Linked DNA regions of Caenorhabditis elegans. The protein of the gene in region 2 purifies or fractionates together with the protein of the main gene of each other region. This does not show direct contact. Each region holds a gene or a part of one and is shown on either strand. Other genes may lie near its edges.

Region 1 (10,346 bases), 5.6 Mb from region 2:
CTTTGACAAAACGATATGCAAAACAGCACAAGAATGTCTAAAACGGATGTTTAAAGGCTTCAAACTACCGAAAATCATTATCGTTGTTTAAATTTCGCGCGTAAATGTGTTTCATGGATTTTCAGCGGATAGATTTATTCATTTTTTGAATCTAAAAACGATTTTTCGTATTATTTTTGACTTTTGTTAAAAGTTTTGTCAGAAAACATTTAAATTTTCAATATAAAAACACGAAAAATCGACTAAATTCCAGAAAAATAAATTAATCGGTAAGTGGGTTAATTTTTGCGCGAAATTCAAGTTATTCGGGCGAAGAGGTTGATTTTCGGAACTTTGAAGCTTTATAACATCCGGTTGAGTCTTGCCATAACACAGAGAAAGTTTTAAAAAAATGTTCTCCTTACATGAACATCCTTAACATCCATATCTCCGCAGTTTCCAGGCAGAGCACGAATAAAATCGTCACCAAATCCGAGTGATCCACGGAAATTGACTTGAAGGACGGCATATCCAGAGTTGAGAAGAGTAGTAAGATCCCGACGTGGCCAGCTGAACTTTTAAATGAAAAACGTTTAAAAAAGGGAAAAAGTAACTCACCTTGCCATGGATGCACCATGAGGTCCACCATGGGGATTCACAACCATTGGAAGATTGTTTCCCTCATTTGGAACAATCAGAATTCCTTCGTAAGTCGCTCCGTCACGCTCAAGATTCACAAATTCCCAGGAGAACTCGAAGAGATGACGACGTTTATCAACAGCCTTCGCCTCGTCGATTCGCACCCAAACCATTTCCTCGGCTTTTCCTGTCCCTGGAAGTTGTCCCAGAAGAACGTTTGGTGGGCGATTCGGAGCAGAGACGACTGCGAGCACTTCGTTATCATAGACATCAAGAAGAGACCAAGTTCCAAGGCATATGGAGTGATTGGTTAATTTTTCAATGTTCCCAGTTGCGATGTTAACGGAAAGCAGTTCCAACTTGCTGCACCAGGAACTTGAAAGGATAAGACGCTTGGAATCAGTAGACCAAGAACGAGTTGCTGTCTGTAAATATTGATTTTTGAAAAATCGGTAATTATATTGCCTTATATTCTGTCCCTTCCTCATGTACATATCGAAATACAGGAAAAAACTTTAATTCCAAAAATCTTCGATGAAGCAGTTTTTTGCATTTTCAATATTTTGAGACAAAATCTCAATCTTCGGAGATGAGTTCACAGTCTTTTGAGACAAATTAGTAATCTTTTGAGACAAAATCGAAATCTATTCGAAATTTTTAGTAATCTTATATGGACGCACTATTTCTCGTATTTACTACAAAAATATTGCTATTTAATATTTTCATATTAGATTTGAGTTGCCTGAGTACCTGTGGGAATGTGAATCCCTGGAATTCGTCTGCAGATCTCTTCTCCTTCACAATCGGAACAATGATTCGCTTCTCAATGTTTTCAGCAGAATCTACTTTCAATGGCCACTCAACAGCTACCATTTCAAGAACTGCTTGATGTGGTCCATCTGCTGCTCTCTGGAACCACACCAAAGTATTTCCGTCGGGCGAAAATTGCAATTCTTCAGCCGAGATTTCACCCTCACTGATCTTCGTCAGCTTTGCGGTCGCAAGCTCATAGTAGTAAAGATTTCCACGGCGATTGTTGCAGTAGATTCTGCCAAGCCGTGGGGTGTCCTGCTCTTCGAGGCCAAAGAAAACAACGCCAGCATCTCCTGGAGCCCATTTCGTGTAGGATGGGGAAATATTCGCAGGAATTTGATCGAGAGCTGTCACATTTCCACTGGAGATGTCGACAATGCAAATCACCGGCTGCTTGACACCATCGTTCTGCTCTCCCCATGACTCGGTGAGCTCGAATTTCTTGCCCTGCAAATAATTCTCTAGAAATCGAAACTTATATTTTTTATTTAATCTATACCACTTTGCTTTCGAAAACCTTCGTCTCGTTATCCCACTCTATATCAGCATCAAAGTATTGCGAAGTTTTCGAATTTCTCTCAGCCACGTACAAAACATGCCCCTCCCCGTACGAAAAGTGAAGGCATCCGAACGGCATACAACCACCACCGTGAATTGTTCCGTGCTTTTTCTGAGTGGAAAGATCAGCGCAAAGCTCTTCCACATGTTCCTCAAGATTGTAGATCTTCAAATATTGTTTCTTATCGTCTCCAGTTCCGATGGTCAGAAGTTGAGCAACACGGGAGTTTGATGCGGAATACACACTTCTTTGGTTTCTGAAATTAGAATTTATTCCATATTCATAAAGATAGAGTAGCGTCTGCCGGGGGTATTTTCTCATACCAAGAGAAAAAATATCAACGAACCGAATAAAACCGCTAAAATAATCATGGAATCTTTTCAATTTGGCTGAAATTGAATTATATTAGAGCACCCGCGCATTGTCTACACTCACGCAAAAAAGGCGTCACAGAAAACGCTCCCAAATTCAATTTTTATTAAAAGAAGGAAAATTTTAACTAGTTTTACAATTTCAACTACATATTTGTGATAAATAATCGAAAAAAGCATGAAATACCTGAAAGAATGAAGAAAATGGAATATTCAAAAAAAAAAGTGAATTCAGGAGCGTTTTCTCCGACGCACTATGTGCGTAAGTGTATGCATCACGCGGACACTCAAATATTATGCAGTTTTCTAAAGAAAGTATTGGGTTTTCCGCGAAATGAAAAGAAAACATAAAAAATTTAGCGAAATTCTATAATTATTTCAGCAGTTCTATTCGTCATATTGTCACTGTTCTCTGTTATTTTTGGCAAAATTCCCACAGACTCCATTCAATCTCCGAATAATTGTTTACTAACTCATAATTACACATTGGCACCGAAACCGACGTCATCAGATACCGATCCGTAACTTCCGGTCCTTTTTTTCCAATCAAGCTGACACGTTGCTGACGAGTCAACTTATTCAGCTGCATGGCACGGTTATCCCAAGTCGTGGTGACTTTGATGAACTCATCTCCTGACTTCTTCTCGATTCGTCCTTGAGTTGGAATCGGAATTTGTGCCAGATCGCCATAAAGATCCTTGAGCTTTTCCAACGCTCTCACATCATACTCAGCTGCACTTGTCACCACAGCAGACGACATTTTACGAAGGAGAAGACGCTGCATTTCGGAAAAGTTTTCGGAGAATTTTAGAAAAGGCAGAGATAAATAAAAATGGGAAGGTAATTCAAAAATGGATAGAAACCAATGAGATAAATGAATAAAAATCTAAAATCGAAATTTTATTGATTCATTTCGCAATGTGAGAAAATGTTTCGAGGGGTAGGTCAAAAAGTAACAAATTCAACAAAAAATTCACAACAATAGAAAAAACATAAATTTCATAATTCTTCAATCAACGGTTTCTTTGTAATTTCCGGTTTCGAATCCTCTCCTTTTGACTGAAATGCTTCTGGAAGAGCTTCGACATTCTGAATTCCGACATCTCTGTCATCAACTGCGCTGTTCATCTCCTTGAACACGTCTAAATCAATTTCAATCCTCTGTGTACTACTCGCTGTGCTCTTTTCGTCAGTTGTGACAGGTACCTCTTCCGAAATCGATTCTGAATTCGAATCGCTGTCGTCCGAGCTGTCATCCTCGACATTTTCAATATGAAAAGCGTCAGCTGACGCGTTTTCCGGCATATTTCGATTGGCTTCTTCCATTTGAGGCAGGAACGATTGTAATCTTAAATTTCGAATTAATTTTTCTTAAAAATTAAATAATTGCTTCAAAGTAACCTGGTTAATAAAGAAGATGGCCCGACAGGTGCGATGATGGGTTTTCCATTTAAAAAATTGGAGATCGTGGGATCCTGTGACATCTGAAAATGGTTTTTGGAGAAGCACAACTGAAAAAAGATGCAGTGGGCGGAATTTCGGCTTCTTCTTGATAGAGTGAATAATTTTCAAAATAAAAATCGATATACAACGAATAGAGAAACAGTTAAAGTGCGGTTCTGTACAAAATCTTTAATATGCTGCTCGAATCTTTTTGCATCTTATAAGTTAAATACAACGAAAGCGATTAGGCGAAATAAAACATCAGCAGTACCGGAAAAAAATAATGACAAACATATCACACTAATAGCCGGGAATTATATTTTTAAATTATACAAAAATTAGTCGGAAGCTTCAAGCTCCTGGATAATTTCGATATGCTCATCGGCAACGATTTGTCCATAATCAGACAGGTTTTCAGCGAAGACGACATGAAGAAGAGCAGCTGGAGCAAGACTGAGTTGAGCCAACGATGCAGATTCATCCTCCACGAGTTGACTGGCAGCGTCACGAAGAGTGAATTCGGATGTCGAAAGAGCATCGGAAAGAGTTGAAGCAACGAAGACACGGACTGCGGAAAATGGTTCATGGCAACCAAATACTCCCTGGAAAAATAAAATAAAATAATTAATCACTTGAATTTCTGGAATATACATACCTGCATCAACAAATTTCCAGGCAATCTGACACGAATCAACGTATATTTGTAGCGATAATTGGTCATTTGTTCGTCTTTTTGTCTCATTTCCTTCGTACGCAATGTCAGCATCTAAAAATTCAATTTATTGTGTGATTTTTCAATTTAAAGCTCCACTCACTCTCTCCACCTGCATCTCCTTATTTCTCTGTTCGGCTTTGAGTTCAGCAGTCGACAAATTGTAAAAATCATCTGCCAACTTTGGTGCTTTCGGTTTTTGCCCCTCTTTTAGCTTGAAGATCTCTAGATTTCTAGCAACCTTTATAGGCACAGCCTGCCCATCCTTCAAAGCTTCCAGAGCCTCCACCAAATGAACATCTGATGGTTTTGTGAACACAAGGAACTTGTCTTCTCCTTCAGATTTCTCAGTAAATCCAACAGCTTCAAGGAATGCACGTCCTCCAACTACTGATGCAACTCGTTCTTGGAATGCCTTATTTCCCAAACGAATTGATTTGTATTTATCCTCTCCTGGGTGTTCCAAAATGTTTTGACAATACTTGCAGATTGTTTCGATGGCAGTCTGAAATTTAGAAGATTGTTTGTTTTTCTACCAAAACAACGAATTTCGTACAGTTTAGGTGAAACGACCGATTCGCAGATTTACAAAAATCCGTGTTGATTTTTTCTTTCTGTGCGACGCTGATTTTTGCGAAATTTGCGGATAGATAGTTTAATTTCAACGGTAATGTGACAAAAATGTCACAAAAACTATGATGGCGGTTCAAAATTTTGAGAAAAAAAAAACGGGCAAATTTTAGCGAAACTCTTCAATTTGCCGAAATATTCCGTTAACAAAGTAACTTTTTTAGCCTATTGTTAGCTAAAAATGATCAAATTGGCTAAATAACGAAATAACGTTATTATAACATGTGAGAAACTATTACAATAGATTAAAAAACATTTTCCGACCGCTGCAACACACAAAAGTTGACAAAATTGGAGATTTTAGCCAGAATGAGTTCATTTTTTTTCGATATTTTGAAATTCTGAGCATACACAAACCTCCTTGGGATGTTTCTTATTAAGTGAATAGAGCATCAAAACTGCGGCAATCACTTTATCGTTTTCATCATCCGCCTCGCTGATCTGATCAGAAAGGAAATTTTTGATATCTTCAAGAAGATCTGCTTTCGAGCGAATATGATGCTCACCGAGCAACTCGGAAGTGTAGAGAACACGTGATATTGCGGATGAATGCTCGAGGTGTTGCTCACGGTCGGGTTGCTGCAGTGATGAAGTCCCAGAAATGTTGAGATCTTCAACCTGACGTCTCTCTTCTTCCAGCTCTCGTTTTGCAATCATTTGAATTCTTCGTTTTCCAGCATTTTGTTGAGGTTCATTCTTCTGCATCCGTTTGAAAGCAGCCTGAGCAGCAATATCAGCGGCCGCGACACGATCAATTTGGCCTCCCTGGGCGGCTCCAGCGTGGGCAGAAGGCTGCGAAGATGACTCGCCGGATGACAAACGAACACCTTCACCGCTCTTTTTGAAGTGATTCTGGACTCGCTTTTTGTTGAGGAATTTCTTGAAACTATTCATTCTTCTTTCTCTGAAATAAATTGGAATGGTTATCAGTGCAGAACTTGTTAAATATCTTACTATTTTTTTCGTTGCTCTTATTTCTCGCTTTCTCAATGTTCTCTCTTATGATAAACTCCTGAATGATTGGTGAATATCGATTCCACGCAATGATAGTGCCAACAGAGAAGATGAAAAGTAGAATAGAAAGAAAGAGTCCGAGAGCTACCTGAAATTTTCAAATTTTGGCCATTTTAGACAGAAACAAGAACAATAATTCACGTTAAAATTTCGAAAATCTCAAAAACATGTTCTCTAACGCACTTGTTTTTTATCCAACGAATAATTATCACAGAAGATAATCAAAGCACGATAAACGTTTTCTACTCCGAATGCTTCTGAGGAATCTGGAAGCGCGTCGGAGCTCTGATAAGCAACTGAATTTGTGCTCAACGGAGTCTGCTCAGTTGTCGGCTCGGCGACCAGAGGCTCTCCCATGCAAGAATAGCTGGAATTGTAGTTCTTTTTCAGAGAGATTTGCGGAAATTAATGATTGCGAAATAGGACAGAAGGCGATGACGACATTTGTGATATTGCACGGTGATAAACATATATTTTGGGTTGTATACAAACTTCAAACTTCATTTCAGAAAATTTGAAAAAAAGCTCATCTCGAAAACGCTATAAAAAACTTGGAGTTTTTCTATTGGAGAAAACTAAACTGGGGAAAGCTTTCGGACAGAAAAATATTATCTGCTGTATTTTTCATGATGTCGTTAATTTTGTGACTTAATAAACTACAAAAAAATGTAGGTAAAACACTTTTGCGTGAAAAGTTTGTGATTGTTTTCCCAAAATACGTTTTTGCGGTTAAATGTTCGTTTTGAGATGTTTATCTTACAATTCTTTTATATTTTGGACAATAATTATATTCTATGAAGTAATCTTTGATTCTGAATAACTTTTTTCCGAAAACAATTCGTTAAAACAACAAAATTTTAGAGAGAAAAATAAAAAATAAGCAAAATAAAAAATAAAAATAGCGAGTGTCGTAAATTGTGTCGCCAAGTCCGCAGTTACGTAACCTCGCGCCGCGCTCTTGCGATAGCAAACCCCGCCCACTTTTCTGTGCACTCCACATTTTCGTCGATTTTTCATTGAAATTTTTCTTCTGTTATTTTGTTTATTTTTGTCGATTGACGACATAATTTTAATCTCAAGCGCTGATAAAATTATTATTTCCAATTTTTAGAAATCACTTTTCATCAAAATACTCACGAAATCCAAGCAAACTGTTTATTTTGGGATAGTATACTCATTCTTCTTAATTTTTTGTTAAATTCCATTGAAATCTGACATTACCTTATGCATATTTATGTTCTTGTTTTTTCTACAATTTTTGCAGTCCTCTTTGCTTCTGTATTTCTCGTAACTTCAACTTTCCAAATTATTTCGTAATATTTTCAGCAATGCCGAAGAATAAGGGAAAGGGAGGAAAGAATCGCAGAAGAGGAAAGAATGAGAACGACTTCATGAAGCGCGAGCTCGACCTCAAGGAGGAGGGACAAGGTAGATTTTATAACTTCTTTCCCGAAAAACAAAAGCATTAATTCCAGAATATGGACAAGTCTCAAAAATGCTTGGTAACGGTCGTGTTCAAGTGTTCTGTTTTGATGGAAAGCAGCGTGTCTGCCATATTCGTGGAAAGTTGAGGAAGAAGGTTTGGATCAACGTGGGAGATATCATTCTCGTCGGTCTCCGAGATTATCAAGACGACAAGGGAGATGTTATTCTGAAGTACACCCCAGATGAAGCTCGCCGTTTGAAGAACGAGGGACTTATCCCAGAAAACGCCAAGCTCAATGAGAACGATGAACAAGACGAGGGAGAGGTTGAGTTCTGTAAGTTTATTTTTGCTGAAAATTAATGAAGTTCAATTTTTTTTCAGTGGATCACGTCGGAGACGAGGGAGAGGCCGGAGAAGCAAAGTCTGACTCAGATTCATCAGACAGTGATTCGGAGAAGTCTGACGAAGAGGCAGGATCGGATAAGGAAGAAGAATCGGACGATGATTCTGAAGAGGAATCAGACGAAGATTCAGATGATTCGGACAATATTCGGGAAGAGGACTTGGCAGCTGGTCGTGGATTTAAAGAGGACACTCGTCGCGGCGGAAATCGTGGTGGCAAGAACAAGTACGGAAAGAGACGCTAAATTGATTAAATTATTGGTTTTTAATTGTTTCCCCCGGTTTCTGTTCTTTCTCCCCCTAAAAATCCATTGTTTCTCTTTCGATCCTTTTCAGACATTATCTTCCCATCTTCTCTGTCTCCCGAAATTCCGTTACTTGAATGCTACAAAGTGAAATAATTCGATTGTGGTGTCCGATGATCAACACAACCTCAAGGTTTCGGTCCATCGGACACCACTTGATGAAACAACTCATTTATTGCAAATTATCCCGTATTCCACTATTTTCCTTTCATTTATATTGTTTTCTGATAAACTTTTCTTGTTATGGGTTTAAAGCAGCACACAACTCTCGACCTTCAAACCGAAAAGCAGGTGAAACATTTGCATCAAAATGTCACAACTCGCGGCCACGTGTATTCATATAGTAAAAATTATTTATTTCAGTTATTTTAAGCTGAATTTGAATGAAATGATTGACAGAGTGCTTCTTTATAACTTATCAACTTCTGCATTTCCCAGCTATGATAATGCGACTAGAATTGATTTATATTTCTTTCTTATAGCTGTTGAGCAAGTTTTAGCTTTGAAAATCCCGTAATATTACCGTCAAATTCCAGAAAGTTTGTCCATCCATCAATAATCATTAATATTGTAATTTCATCAATTGGGATTTTTACAACATCATTCCATTTATTCGTTTTATCTCGAAATTCAATGTTAAAATCGTCCGTAATCTTGATAATGATAGGAATCGCTATTTGTGATATATTAGTGATGTTTGTCTCTATTATTTATAACTATCTTTATTTGATTTTGGAATTTAATGTGAAACCCTGGTAAAGTACATTTATTCAAAAGCTTAGTTCCACAGTACTACTACAGTAACCCAACGTAGTAAAAGATCTATGTGGTTAAATCGTAGTTAAAGAGATCACGTAGTAAACAGTACTTGACTTTTGTAACCCGATGTTAAATCAACTCATCTTTCCACTTCCAGTGAACCACCTGCACCACTTTCATTCTTTTATATGTACTGGATCAATGTAGTAATTAATGATTTGTTCCGTCGAACATCCACGTGGCTCAGCGTAGTTATGGCCACAATCAGACTGATCGTCTTGAAGTTTTCAACGAGAAGAGCATTTCGAAAAGTTAATTTTCCCAAATTCGGATTCACTTTAGTTATTGGAACGTTGTTATCAAGCATTCCATTAACTGTAATATATTATTTCCGATACGATATCGTTAAAATTGGAGACTGGAAGCCTATGAATAAGTAATCCAGATTTAACAACCTTTGCCTAATTAAAAATACACTTTCAGTTGCACATTTGCAACGAGTTATCCAGAATCTCGTGTTATCTTCACTTTGGTACAATCCAAAGTCTACCAGGCTAACGATGGACTTGTAGGAAAAGTATATCAATTGATTAATGGAACAATTTCCAAAGTGGGATAATTTTGTTTTTACTAAAGCAATTAACCAAGAACTAATTTTTGGTTCCTAAAAATAAAAATAATTTTCAGCTGTTTCCATGTTTTCTGCTTCCAGTTCTAACCTATATGCTTATTGTCGAACTCAAAAAAGCCAAGGATCACCAGAGAATGTTAAATTTAACTATAAGACCAGTAATTATCAATGAAACCCAGTCAGTTGCCAGTACAGAAAGAACCACGGGGCTAGTCGTATTTATAACAGCTTCTACATTTCTTATTGAAGTTCCAAATGGAATTGTTCGTGTTTTACAATTTGGATATACTGACTTGGGATACTGGTGAGGGTTTGAATAATTAGAAATTAATTTTGGCAATATTTGAAAATAATGAAAACATATGCCACCCGAAAGTTAAACAAACATATTTAATCTATCGTCTGTTCTTAATTATAATGATAATACAAACTATACGACATGTTTATAGCGAATATAATTTCAAAGGATTAACATTTTTCCACTTTTTTGCTGTAATTTTATGCATTTAGTGAAACCGTAATAATTCTGGTTTGTTAACCCTATTAAAAAAGGGATCTACATTTAGTTCAAATGCATTGATGGACTCCAATTTTTTTCAGATTTTAAGTGATAACGTGATAGAATAATTGGAAATATTTGTGTGGGAATTCTTTTTTTGAGAA
Region 2 (14,336 bases):
CTGGAAAAGAGGGCAAAAAAGTGAAGTCTTCTAAGAAATCTGGTTATGGAGCTCCTTCGAGTGCTGGATCGAGTCAGGCTAAAGAATCATCGACAACTTCAAGCGTTATATCTGATCAAACGCCACCATATGAAATTGACACGGTATGTGTTGCCTGTTTATGGACATTTGAAAATAACTATTTCGTGAAATGACGGCACTTGAAAACCCCTGAATTGAAAAATAGTAATGTATTATTATGGTAAACAGGGAAAATTGTTTGTATGTCAGACAGGAATTTTGAATAAATAAAAATCAACTAGAATGACATTGGAAATAATATGCAATGAACAATTATTTTTATTTCAGAGAAATGAGAGCAGTTGGAAGCTTACGATTCCCGCTTATGCTGCATCACGAGTGATTGGAAAAGGCGGATCGAATGTTAATGCTGTTCGCGAAGCAACTGGAGCCATCATCGAAATCAATAAAATACAGGAATCCAACAAACAAGCTGAAAGAACAGTTCTAGCAAAAGGAACACCAGAAATGGTGAGATACGCGATGAACATAATCAATTATATGATATATGATGCCGATGTCTTGGTCACCGATGCAATTCGGACAGTTCTTCGCGGCAATTTGTCAGTTGCTTCGTCATTTTCATCTGAAGGTACATCGAAGAGTGCAGTTGATTCGACTTATGCTCCATCATCCATTCCAAAATCTTTATCTTCAGCAAGCATTGCTCGTCAATCTGCCTCACCTATTCCACAACAATCGTCTCAGAGATCCGCTAAATCACACCATCATCAGAAGGACTCGGGTGGCGGTAATGTGTGGCATCAAAGAATGGCAGCACGAGAAGAGAAAGTTGAGCCCTTAATGGAAACGAAACGAATTTCACAGTCACCGAAGCAAGCTCCACAAATTCCATCTACGCAGCAGCAATCAAAGTTACAATCCCGGCAGGATCAAGCGTCTGAGACTCTTGTTCGAGTTGCTCCTGCAGAGAACTTTGTTGCTCCAGTGCCCGCTTCTTCAATTGCAGCTCCATCGAGACCCAATCGTACGTTTTCCTTCTCCTTGTCTCTGAATAACTTTGTTTATTTTCAGAAAATGTTCTTGATCGTGTTATTGCTCCATCACTCCGGAGAGAGCCAACCACAACTCCTCTGATTCAACCAGTTCATCCAGTTCAATCTGTTCAATCTGTTCAACATATGCAACAGCAACAGCTAGCGCGACCAGAACAAAAGCTTGCTCAGCCATGTCTTCCAGACCCAATTGGTCAGCGATACTCGCAACCAATTTCACGACCACAATCATCGGTTCAAGTTTCGCAGTCTTCTTTCTCCAAAGCACCCGGAACTCGCCCTTCAACTGATTTCTCTCGTGCTCCTGGTCCACCACAGCAACAACAGACTCAAAACAATATGACTACAGCTCGAAACGAATTGTTTGATGAACAACTTGCTTTTGGTCAATTCAAACCGACTGGAATGAATTCTGTTGCTACCGTAATCCCTGCCAAACCTTCAGTAAATAATCAAAACGACGACAAAAATGGAAACAGTGATGACTTCGATTTTTCCAAAATGAGAATGTTTGATGAAGGCAAAGTCGGGAACATATGGGGAAAATCAGATGAAGATTCAGCTTGGGGAGGATTGTTTTCTCAATTCCTTCCACAATTGGGTGCCAATTCGAGTTTGAACAATTCCAACTCAAAAAATGATTCATCGGTTAGTTTAACAGCATTGAAAACAAATTTCTAAATTTTTATCTTATTTCAGAATGAATGGGGACAAAACGAGTTCATATCGCAGCTTCTTATTAACTCATCACTTCCTAATGCTACTTCGAGTCCACAAGGTGCTTCAACCATATCATCAGCACCAGTGCAGCAGCCATCTACGTCTTCTGTTACTACTGGATTATCTTCTTTGGAACTGAAAGGTTGGATGCCAGCCTCATTTGCACCGTCTGCTCGTGATCCGAATAGATCTCAACCACCCCTGTTTGCAAGATCTCAATCGAATTCTGTTGCTAATAGCACTTCCACGAATATTCAACAGCAACAACAACAGCAAATTCAACACCTTCAACAGCAGCAAGCACTACAACAACAACAGCAAAGGATTCAGCAATTCCAGCAACAATACCAACAGCATCAGTCTCAAAGTTCTCAGCAACCAAGTGACTTGATGTCTTCAAAGTTTTCAATGCTACAATCACAACAACAGCAGCAGCAACTTTACAATCAGATGCAGTCGCTAGGTCAAGATGGACAGGGATCCAATCTGTATAACCATGTAGGGATCCGTGATTTATGTCTGAAAATACGTTATTTGATTTATTTGCAGCTTGCCGCCCAATTATTGACTCATCAAGAGAGTTCTACAGGAGCACCTGGTCCAACAAGTAGTCAACTTGCAAATAGCTACTATCCATCACCTTCGTATACGGATGCCAGTGTTTTAGGGCAAATTAGCATGCCGTCATTGTCACAGAGAGGAATAAAGCAATTTGATGGATTTAATGTAAGTTTAGGACAAATTTGATGTTAAGATAGCAGGATCAGTTTAAAAATTAATGAATGGAAATTTAGAATGACTCTGATGGCGTTATTGCTGCTATTCTCGAGCAACAACAACAACAGAAGAAACAAGGACTCGCACAACAATCGTTCATGCATAACTCTCAACAGCCACAGCCGTTCGGAGCTCCCAGCAACGCTTCTGCAAATCAATCGCGACTCGGAATGATCCAACCTCGGCCCCAACCGCCACCATTTGTTGCTCCACAAGCTCCACCTGGATTCTCTTCTCTTGGAAATGCATCTTCCACGACGAACCCATCTCGAACTTCTATGCAGCAAATGTATCAGCAATACGGACAGAGTTCACAGCAACAGCCTTACGGTCAGATGCCTCAAGCGTAAGTTCTACGATTTCTAATTAAATATTTGTTTATTTATTACAGAATGGATTGGAACCGACTTGGACAGCAACAGCAGTCTGCATCTGGCCAACAAAATCATCAGTCATCCTCGTCAAATAAATGGTCTTCCAACTGGTAGATATCGCTCACAAAATCGTCTTCTTGTCAATTAGTCCCCCCTCCCCTCATAATAATTCGGTGTTTACTTGTTTTTTATTCAACCGTGAAACAATATGTCTTCCCGGTTGAATTGCATCCATTTTTCTTTATTTCGTCTCCTCGTTCCGGGTTTTGTAACACTTTTTCTTCATTTTAAATCTAGCCTTTTTTGGTCCATTTTTTCTTTCAACTCTCAAATGTTCGATCTTTCCCATCCCTAGCAAGTGTTTTCTTGCGAGCTCAGCCTTGTGGAAATTGTACTCTTCTGTCCAAATTATTCCCGTTTACCCATTTTTTGTTCTTTTTATATCTCCCCCGACATACTACTTCTTTTTTTTCGGTTATTTTTCAAGTCTTCCAACACAACACATATGTATTTGAGACGGATGTCAAATGGTCCCAACTTTTTCTTCCCTTTATTGAAAAGTGTGTCTTATTTTTCACTTTTGATGTTTTACTCGTTGTTTCATATGAAACCTGGGCATTTATTTCATTGCTAATTAATTATGACTTTCTTCGCTTTATGTTGATCCATGAATCGTGATTCTTGAAAGTATACAGGTTAGGCTATTGAAATGTACAACTCGAGGTTTTGATTCCTATATCTTGAGAATTAAGTCGGTAGATGTTGAAAGAACAAAAATTTTCAGAAAAATGATTTCATCAAAAATGCTCACAAGACTGAACCGGAGCTTTGTACAAGCAGGTGATACTGGTTCCAGAAATTCTTTCATTTTTTAAAATTTCAGCTCGATCAATGTATATTCAAGTTCAGGAGACACCTAATCCACTTTCTTTAAAATTTTTACCTGGTTAGTGGAAACTTCACTGTTTAAAATCTGAAATGTAGTATTTCAGGTCAACAGCTTCTCCCAGACGCCTCGAAAACATACGATTTCAGCTCAGCGGCTACAGCAAAACAAAGTCCACTTGCTATGTAAGGAATATTCCAAATTTTAACTACCATTCAGATAAAATAGTATTTATTTGTAAATTTTCAGAAAACTTCTTCGAGTCGACGGAGTGAAGCGTGTGTTCTTCGGAGAAGATTTTGTAACTGTCACGAAATCAGATGAGACTGTTGACTGGGCTCTCCTCCGTCCGGAAATCTTCTCAACAATTGCTGATCACATTCAAACCGGAAAACCTGTCATAAATGAAGCTGCAACTGTTTCCGACCAAGTGGAAGAAGATGATGAAGTTGTAATGATGATCAAAGAAATTCTAGAGACACGTATCAGACCAATGGTACAAGAAGATGGTGGAGATATCACTTATGTTGGTTTTGACGATGGTGTTGTCAAATTGAAGATGCAAGGTTCATGCACAGGATGTCCAAGCTCTGGAGTCACTTTAAAAAATGGAATTGAGAATATGCTCACATTCTACGTGCCTGAAGTGAAGGAAGTTATCGAAGTTAAGGATGAATCCGATGATCTTGTGGAACAAGAGTTGAAGAAATTTGAGCAATCAAAAGGAATCAAAGACTAATTGATAATTGATTCGTGTATAACTAGATTTGTTTTTATTAGTGTTTGCTGCTAGAGATAAATGTTCAATGAATATTTATAAAAACTTTTTTATTACTTTGAAAGTCGTATTAGTAGAATTGGTTTATGACTCTGAAATCATCGAATCACGTCAAAGTTCAACGGCCCAGTCCAAATCAGTGATATCAGTTAAAAGACTTATCACCCGGAAAAGTGGAAAATTGTGCTTCGTAAATTGATAAGAAATCAGTCAGAGTGCTGCTCAAAATGTTGAAACAAATTCTTCTCGTCGCTATTATTTTAAATTTAGGAGTATCTGCGTATAAGAAGAAAAGCTTGATTCATGTTAGTTTTTTTTTCAAGTTTTTGAATTTTCAATGTTATCCAGACGCGGAATTTTGCTATTTTTGCGGCTGGTTCGGTTTCTGAACGACATCATTTTAATAAATGCGGAAGGTACGCGCCTTTAAAGTGAACTGTATATCCAAACTTTATTTGCTGCGGTCAATTCTTCATAGTTTTTCGAGAAAAATATGTTTTTTTATTTATTAAACAAACTACATTTTGAAATCAAAATACAAAAATCTTCAGAAAAACATGAGACAACAACTTTTGCATTTATCAAAATTTTATCGTGACGAGACCGGGTACTGTCGCTAAAGTTCGCGTCTGAGTAATTGTGTCTGTAAATTATAAATTTAGAATACTGTAGAATATAAATTTATCAGAATCATGACAAAGTGATCGTATCAAACGACGACTTTATTGGATGCCCAGTTAACAATGATTTCTATTACAATGGAACCATTAATTCACCATTGTATCCATACAATTATCCTCCAAATGACAAGTGTTACTATTACATTTCTGCTGAACCAGGAAAAGTTCTCAAGATTTCATTCTCTCATTTTGATTTGGAATCTTGCTGTGACTTCATCACAATTTATGATGGACCAACTGTAGTGTCGAAGAAACTTGTACAGTAAGTTTCTATTTTTTCACAATTTTAAATAATTCAAATGTAAATAAGATACGTACGACGTCGTACGTATATAAGAACATACGCACAAGCAAGGGCTGTCTTTTATAAAGGTGTTTTAGGTTTTTGGTTTTATGCCAAAAATTGTTTTCATAAACGATTTTGTATTTTTTCGTTCCAAAAAAGTTAAAAAAGGGTAAATTTTGGTACTGAGGTAAAGTTATTTCGCCTGATCACAGGCACAAAATGACAGGCAGGCACATAGGCAGGCAAGAAATGTGGGACAAACGCCTTAAGATGTGCATGCTCAAATAGATTATATCTTTGAACTTTTCATTGACTGGAAATTGAAACCTCATTTATCTACTTTCCGAGTAAAAATGTCAAAAGTTCAATTATTAATTGACATGTACGATGCACCAGCATCATCTTCATAATCATCATCCATTTCCATTGATTGTTCATTGATTGTTCCTCTACGTTCCAGAAAGTTTCTCCAATTTGGTGCCACCAAAACGTTCAATGCACTTTTGGCTCTAGGAACATCAGGAATAAAACTGAATCGAGATGCATTCGGTTCAGGGAGCAATCTTTAAAAAGTTATTGTTGAATTTCGAATCGAGCTAAAAATTCTTTAAAAATTAACATACATTTCACAAGTAGCTTCGACTTTCTCCGTATATCCAGCCACTGAGAATAACCATCCTTTGTAAGAACATGCTGCACTAGTTGATCTTCCATAGATCAACTTCTCCGGTCGTTGCTGCCATTCACCAGTTCTGTGCCACATCCAAATCTTGTTTTGTCGTTCGGCACCATCAAATCCTCCAACAATAAGCAATTGGTTACCGTGGTTGAGAAGACAATGACCAGTTATTGGATACGGTAGATCAACAGTTCGAGAGAAAACATTTCCAATTGGATTGTAGACTTCAACAGACGCAAGAATCATGTCACCATTGAAACCACCACTAACGTAGATTTGATTCTCAAATACTTCAGCAGCACAGTCGGAACGCATGTCTGATAGGCTTCTAAAAATATAAAGCAGATTAATCGGGATACAAGCAAAACATTATAAAGATGCAGAAAAACCACTTTTGAAATCGACATGCAAACATGCTCTACGGTCAATTGATAACGCTCCGCCCCCGAACCATGGGTCTCGTTAGGTATTTGGCGGCAAAACTATTCCGAAATCGATGTCATTTCCTTACAGTTTTTTTTTCCACCAAAGGGCTAACGAGGCCCATGATTCGGGAGCAAAGCGCTCTCAATTGGCAACGGAGAGCATTTCCAAGTCGATTTAAAAACGCCACAGGGCTTACGCAGTTTCAGTCCATTTATTGGTCTTTGGATCGAAAACCTCTCCTGTACGACTTCTCACTGCAGTTCGAGTGATCTCTCTGAAATTCTGTCCTCCAAACACATAAATCCTCCCGTCATACACCACAGAACTGTTTGAAATGTAGTTTCGTGGTTCCATCATATTATTGCATCGATCCCATTGCCACGTTTCCGTTGACAATTTCCATGTTTCGCAACGAGTGCGCTGACCAGTCGAACCACCGAACAAGTAGAGAATTCCATCAACAATTGCTGATCCATGATATGCAAGTGTTGTTGGTAGCTTCTGCTGGGACACTTTCCAGCAGTTATTCTCCGGATCAAACCATTCAATTCTATCACATGCTTGTCGATGAAGCCATCCACCGATGATGATGAGAACATCTCGAGTTCGGCGTGCTGGTTTAAGTGACGGATGGAATTGGGACAATGATTTGGCAATCTGTACAAGTTAATGAGTTTAGTTTAGAAACTGAACTTTAAAAAAACCTGTTGGTCCAGAGCCAAAAATCGAACAGTTGACATGAGCATCGGACGGAATTTATCACGATTTTCAAAATCAGCTGCAATCCATTGATTGATAACTTCAATAATTTGAGTCTCCTGCTCAACATTTACTTCTTCACTGCTCAAAAGATGCTTGACCTCTTCCACTGGTAAACGATAAAATTCAACATCAACCCGTTTGTCGACAACTACCATTCTCGCCTTAATTAGTTATTTTCAAATTTGATTTCTATTTAAAGATGGGGGAATATCGTGAGAACTTTTGAATACTCGAAATAATTCAAAAATATCACTTTTAAATAACTTCTAAATTTTGAACGTACCAGATTGTAAAGAATATATTCAAGTGTTTTGTGTGCATGGTTCTGGCAATCGAATTCGCGAAATTTCTTGTGAAGAAGAAAACAGTTCACATCTGACAACGTTGACAGAATATGATCACAAATCGTATTTTTCATTTCTAAAATTTTTGGAAAACAATGTTGACCAAATCCTGCAATTTCTTCCAGTGATTTTTCAATTCCAAACCATCCCATTTCATCGGTACTGTCTGAGACTTTTTCCAAGCCGAGCAAATACTTGACCTAGAAGTTAACAACTACATTTTCTGAAGTTTGGTAACAATAAACAACTTACTGTTTGAGTAGTGAATGGTACCAAAATGTTCTTTTGCATTGATCGAGGACTCAATGCTCCAAGACGATTTAGTTCTCGAGCAATCTCTGATTCCACAAGTTTTACTTCAAAACGTTCTTCATCTTTGGAGATTATTGCCACATCACAACGATTATCGATTGATGTTAATTTTGAATTGCAAAATCGCATTTCGAGAGAATTGCTAAGATTGAGAAATGGCAAATCGTTGAGGAGAAAATGAGAAATGGAACAACCACGCGGGCTTGTATTTATTGGAATAGTTATTTAATTTAATTTATTAAAAATAGTTTATTCAATCGAAATTTAAAAAAATGTGTTTAAAAAAGTAATTTTATGAAGCGCCAGATTGTGTTCTTCTCTTCAAACGTTAGAAGTCTAATGAGAAAAATTTCTAAAAATAAAGTAATCAAATTTCATGAAAAGTTAATAATCCGGACAAGTTTTACTCATTTATCGTAACATCCTTCAATAAAACATTAAAAAATATAGATTTTCGATGAAATTTTTCGAAAACCTTAAGGGGTCCTACATCGCGCGTACTGTAGTAATCAAAAATATGTGTTTTTTCTTAGAATCGGTGGACCTGGATCTAATGTAACCAGTGCTGGAACTTACTACACAACGACAAGAAACGCCGTAGTAACTTTTGAATCAAACCCAACTATTCAGAAATCTGGATTTTCGATGCAATATCAGTCGGTGAATAGTGAGTTTTCTAAAATTTCAAAAATCTTGAAGCAAAATTTTGTATTCAAAAATATTTTCAGCCGTGGCACCATGTAACCGTGACATATTCCTGATTGTAAATGGGTTAGCCAACGTTGGATCCCAGGCAAATTACCAAAAAGAAATCAATTTTATCGCCAATCAATTGACACCAACTTGGAATGTCGGACTTGATAAAGTTAGAGTTATGCTCAACCTTCAGGTGATAATTTGATGAGTGACAAGACAAAAAACATATCAAATTTCAGACAGACATTGATTATGCAATTGTTTGGTCAGCTGATGATGTTCCATCAAATGCCAATGTTACACAAGAAGTTCTAAATATGTTGGAATATGTTCCAGATGTTACAACAGACAATAACATGGATCTTGAATGTCTTTTCCGTTATGCTTTTGACGGTCTTGATGATAGTAAAGAATTCGATGAAAGATATGGAATCGAAAAGGTTGTCATCATTTTTGTGGCTGCCAATGCAAAGTTTGTTTATTTTTCAAAAAATCTTTTGTTGAAACTGTAAACAATTTTGCAGTAACGATCAAGATTACAATGAATCATTCGAGTTTGCTCATAAAATTCGAACAGAACAAGATGCTAAGGTGATCGTTGTTGGTATGGGATCAGGACTTGATCAAACTCGCTTGTCTAAACTCGCATATGCCTCTGGATATGCTTTCTTTTCGACCAGCTATGATAATTTATCATCATTGATTCCAAAAATCAATAATGCTATTTGTTCGGGACTTAGTTCTCAATGTGGACCATAGATTTGCAACTTTAAAATAGATCTATTGTCGTTGGAATGTGAATAAAGTTGTGATACGCAAATGGCAACTTTCCTCTATACAATTTTTAATCTCTTTGGAATTGCAAGGTATCTACAGCCAATGTTCTATTGGTGGTTCTATTGGTTTTGCAGTTACTTGTTTGAGTTTTTCAAACACGTGTAATATAACTCAAATATTATAACAGTTATTGTCTGAAATTTAATTTGAAACAGAGGCGTTTAAACCAATTTTGAAAAAGTTTACGAACTTGTGAACAGTTTGAAAATTGTTCATCTGAATGTTCTGTCAAGGTTATTAGATTTTCAAGCTAGTGTAAGCTGCAATCTGATTGTGAAAAAACTATTCATGGTTTCCAAAATAAAAACTAATTCCAAAAAAAAAGAAGAAAATCACGGGGTCAAAAAAAACTTTTAATTTAAAATAAATACTAGATACAGTTTTGATTAAAACCTCTGATCGAAAAACATTCAATATGAACGTGACTTGCCCATAGCCTCGTTTTCTCCTCCAGTAATGGGCCAAAAGAATGGGCCAGAAAGAAAGGGCCAAAAGGCTGTATTAAAAGCAGTTTGCAGTTTTGGAAACTTCAAATATCCGGCAGTTTTGGTCAATGGCACTGGTACATCAGCTTTGGCTCAGCATCGCAATGGCCTAATGGCTCAGAGGAGGTGGCTGTGTGGCCATCACTCAGTAGCTCAGTAGCTCAGTGGCTCAGAGGTGGTGGCTGTTTGGTCATCTACATTGTGGCGGAGTATGGGATTCGTTTGTCAGCTTTGGCTCAATGGCTTGTTGGCAATTGCTAAGTGGCTTAGGGAAGGAGGGTGTATAGTCATCGCTCAGTAGCTCGGAAGTTCAGTGGCTCAGAGGTGGTGGCTTTATAGTCATCGCTCAGTAGCTCAGTATCTCAGTGGCTCAGAGGTGGTGGCTGTATGGCCATCTGCATTGTGGTGGATGTATGGGATTGGTTTGGCAGCTTTGCCTCAATGGCTCGTTGGCAATTGCTCAGTGGCTTAGAGAATGTGGCTGTATAGTCATCGCTCAGTAGCTCAGTGGCTCAGAGGTGGTGGCTTTATAGTCATCGCTCAGTGTGTGTGGCCATCCCGTGACTGTATGGTGGCTATATGAGCTTTTCTACTAATGATATGTGACAGTATTTTAACAAACGTAAAAGAAACATGATCATTAGTTATTGGACAAGACTTTTCTACGTAAACCAGTTAAAACGAAATACGTGTTTAAAGTAATATGCTAAGAGATTGGTTTTGTCAAGTTCCGAGAAAATTTGATTTTCATCTCGATGTAATATACTTTGTTCCGCTGTTCAGATTTTGTTGCACCGAAAAATATTCATTTTGAAATAGAATTATTGCAAAAATAAATCTAATTAAATTCTACAGTCAACTAATTAATATTCATGTCCATCCTCATCGACGTGTTTCTCCATTTTCTCCTTGACCAGAGAGACACGGTGTGGTCCAACTCGCAAATTGTACTTTGCTCCTAGCTGGAAAATGTTCTGATTAAACTTTTGATCTCTTTCAATCACTCTTCACCTTTTCAAAAGCAGTGACTTCATCGGTTCTTCTGATGAAGGCAAAGTTGATAACGAATGTTAGCATGAATACAATCACTGCAAAAGCTGCTCCAACGAAGAGTGGTGCTGCGTAGTCAAGTACTTCGAACTGTTGTTTTGGCATTTGTCTGACAATTTAAGAAATTCAACAGTTTAGGAAATTGTCTCATAATTTTCAGTGTTAAGATAAAATATAGCTTCTTTAAAAAATTCCTAAAATCATCTCTAATCAATCTAACTGATAGTATTCTCAAAAGTATTCAGGTTTGAGTCTGTACTTAAACTAATGCTCAGAAAAGCTTTTGTGAATGCAATATATAAGACTTCTCAAAACTAGATAAATATCTACAAGAGAAGTACCCGCTAGAGCGCAAAACCTATAAAGGAATGTGAAGATATTCTTTGAAAATCAATGCGTTTGATGTGCCAGAAATAAAATGTAACCATAGAGACACAGAAAGTAGAGACGCAGAATCAGCCGGATATCCGACTAGAAAAAAAAAATGAAAACGAGTTTTATAGAAGAAATGAAGCAGTTGAATATTATGGGGAACTTGTTGATGAAGGATTAAGATGATGGGAGGATATGGGGGTGGATGACTGGAATATTGGAACAGATAAAGAGAAAAAAAACAGACATTTATGGTCATATAATTTCAGTATTTAGGAGAAGATCAAATGGCCGAGATTCCAGAGTTTTGAAATGGTTTATCAAGTGATAATCCACTAACACAGTTGACTCGTTATTTGCGCGTAATGCTTCAGAAAGCACAATATATTTTATTGGCGATGTGTGCATCATGCCTTCAAATGCCGATGATGTGAAATTTCTGAGGAGACACATCGCAAGTTAACAATACGAATGAGAAGAATTCCTTTTGAATACAGCTACAGAGGGAGGGTAGATATCTAGAAATGCATCTTCTCTTTCACAAGACACTGAAACCTTTTCTTGGTAGTAATTTGACAGGCAAAAATGAATTCGAGAAAAAGAAGGTTGCATGCGTTATTCAGAAAAAAAAAAGAAACTTTCATAAACTGGGAAGAGGTTCGACAAAGCACGCAACAGCATTTCCTGAAAAGATTAGTACAAGTGGTTCACAGAATACAAGAGCTTTTTCTAATCTTCTCTTTTGGTATTTGCCTGGAGTTTGAGACACCATTCAAGCACTGAAACTTGAAAAAAACGGGACTGAAAACCAATTTCTGCAAGAGAAAAGTTGGAGCAGTAGTCGAAAGTTGACGAGGAAAAGGTAACGCATTCTTTGTTTAAAACCAACTTTTTGGTTCCATGTTTAGCTGCCAAATTGTGCCGGTCGAGTAAACTCACGATTTGTGAGCTTTTCCCAGTTTCCATAAAGGTCTCAGCTTTCACAGCTTACAAATACATAGATGAAGTTCCTTTTGATGCCAGACATTTGATATTTTCACTTTGTTTGATGACTATTGTTATTATGTATATTATGGTAAAAAACGTTATGGTATCAAAATGTTCATTCCATTATCTTTTCTTCGTCCATTACCTTATTCATTTACTTTCTGTATTAAAATTTTCCGACAGAACAATTCCCTCAATTTGAATGTGGATGTATTCTAACTGTCTGACCACATCAGTGTCAAAGTGCTCGTTTCAGTTATTTGACATGAAATGGACCTTTGTTTGGTTCCGAGTTTATTCAAATCTCTTTTTCTTGTCTAGACATATAATACGACAATTAGGAAGTTGATTGTTTATGAAATGTTATGAATTTATCTATTAAAGAAAGTTAATTTGAATTTTCGAATAATTTTATTGATTTTGCGAGAAAACTAAATCCGTCTTGTTCTTGTGCTTCAGATAAATTGCCAAAAATGAAGTCGATGTTTACAAAACGTTTAGTTTTCGGAGTATTCTTATTTGAAATTTTTGAAAAATCATCAAAAAACCAGAAGCGCATATACTTTTGGCCGACTGTGTAAATCAAATCAATATTAGTTTTCATTTCAATTTTTTCAAATCTTTCAATCATTTTTGTTTTGAAAATTGATTATTTCGAATACTTCACATTTCATATTATCGAATCGAACATATTTTGATATTCTAGTAACCCAAAAACATCATCCCTTCCATTTCCCAAAAAAGAGATTCTTTTGATCAAAAAAAAGAAGAAGAAAGCATGTGCGCACAAATTGGAAGGGATGAGAGAAAATGCCAATTACCCGGAAATTCCTCTCTATTTCTCTTTTCTTTGCTACCTTTTTGATCCGCTAGATATCTGCTCATTCGATTTGCTCGGAGACAAGTATTACTGGGGAGGTTTCATTCAAGCTTTCCACGCTTATTGATCACTAACTTTTAAGCGGTCTTTAGTTAAGGCAGATCAGATGTAGATGATTTTGAATAATATATTTTTTTAATTTGGAAATTAAAACTTTGCACATTCTCACTACACATTAGCAAAAAATGATTCTTTCAAATGTGGCGTAAATATCTTATTTTGAAATATGTATATAGTTTAGAACTAACTTTGAGTGATGGTAGTTTTAAATTTAAATTCAGTCGCAGCATGAGCTGATCTTGTTTGCAAAACTGTAGTAAAAATACACTTTTTCTCAAAACATGCAGCTATTTTTTTAAATCGAAAAAATAATAATGTAAAATAGTTAACAGTGTCATAATCCACGACTATTTCCGCGAAAATTTTGTTAGCGATGTTCGGGAAATCATCTATTCAGACTTTCAAGTGTACTTCTCTTGAAAAAAAGAAAATAGAAATAGAAAAACATTCTAGACAAGTGGACCTTATAGAAAAGATCATGTAGTCTACATTTGTTTTCTAAACTTTTTTGAAAGTTGTTCTTCATTGAACATATAATATTTTCAGCGTAAGCTGTGTTCTAGCTACTGATTCTTGAATTTTTATTTTATTCGAGAGGTATGAATCATTCGCGTGGGTTGTTAAAAAATAATTGACCCGATTAAAATAAATATATCTAGTTTAAAAACGTATTATTTCTCGAACTAACATGACGTCGACACATTAAAAATTCAAAGTCTGAAGCAAATAATTTCTCAACGATTTTCGAGCATCATATTTCGAGTAAACTCCAAAATTTAATTTCAAAGAAAAATTAGATTAAAGGCTTATGCCTACCTGGTTAACCCCACGCTTTCACAAACCAATTAGTTATTTTATTTATGGAAAAA

What was found.
Region 1: the proteins of R10H10.3 (region 2) and H06H21.11 fractionate together in Caenorhabditis elegans (co-fractionation; one large-scale study listed by BioGRID). This does not show direct contact.

Annotation. Positions count from the first base shown.
Region 1 is NC_003282.8:4,803,448-4,813,793, forward strand, and holds H06H21.11 (uncharacterized protein), read right to left. Parts: upstream 3,873-10,346; 5' UTR 3,846-3,872; coding exon 3,763-3,845; intron 3,710-3,762; coding exon 3,361-3,709; 3' UTR 3,250-3,360; downstream 1-3,249. Other genes in the region: dpf-5 (acylaminoacyl-peptidase), read right to left, coding at 405-549, 598-1,043, 1,369-1,878, 1,931-2,246, 2,835-3,121; ubxn-6 (UBX domain-containing protein 6), read right to left, coding at 4,143-4,406, 4,460-4,570, 4,620-5,021, 5,504-6,040; H06H21.37 (uncharacterized protein), read right to left, coding at 6,037-6,050, 6,101-6,248, 6,344-6,517; eif-1.A (Eukaryotic translation initiation factor 4C), read left to right, coding at 7,489-7,588, 7,636-7,920, 7,968-8,233; srw-95 (G-protein coupled receptors family 1 profile domain-containing protein), read left to right, coding at 8,682-8,782, 8,830-9,048, 9,210-9,488, 9,536-9,662, 9,740-9,987.
Region 2 is NC_003282.8:10,383,682-10,398,017, forward strand, and holds R10H10.3 (CUB domain-containing protein), read left to right. Parts: upstream 1-4,823; 5' UTR 4,824-4,838; coding exon 4,839-4,916; intron 4,917-5,299; coding exon 5,300-5,553; intron 5,554-5,896; exon of another isoform or gene 5,897-5,941; coding exon of another isoform or gene 5,942-6,140; intron 6,141-6,200; coding exon of another isoform or gene 6,201-6,584; intron 6,585-6,878; coding exon of another isoform or gene 6,879-7,339; intron 7,340-7,386; coding exon of another isoform or gene 7,387-7,605; intron 7,606-7,727; coding exon of another isoform or gene 7,728-7,988; intron 7,989-8,040; coding exon of another isoform or gene 8,041-8,229; exon of another isoform or gene 8,230-8,246; intron 8,247-8,633; coding exon 8,634-8,767; intron 8,768-8,828; coding exon 8,829-8,989; intron 8,990-9,035; coding exon 9,036-9,268; intron 9,269-9,320; coding exon 9,321-9,555; 3' UTR 9,556-9,613; downstream 9,614-14,336. Other genes in the region: Ankyrin repeat and KH domain-containing protein mask-1, read left to right, coding at 1-143, 349-1,048, 1,096-1,724, 1,776-2,294, 2,346-2,522, 2,591-2,919, 2,965-3,061; nfu-1 (NFU1 iron-sulfur cluster scaffold homolog, mitochondrial), read left to right, coding at 3,736-3,787, 3,831-3,893, 3,940-4,018, 4,083-4,572; Spermatocyte protein spe-26, read right to left, coding at 5,942-6,140, 6,201-6,584, 6,879-7,339, 7,387-7,605, 7,728-7,988, 8,041-8,229; R10H10.4 (DUF3149 domain-containing protein), read right to left, coding at 10,982-11,080, 11,130-11,273.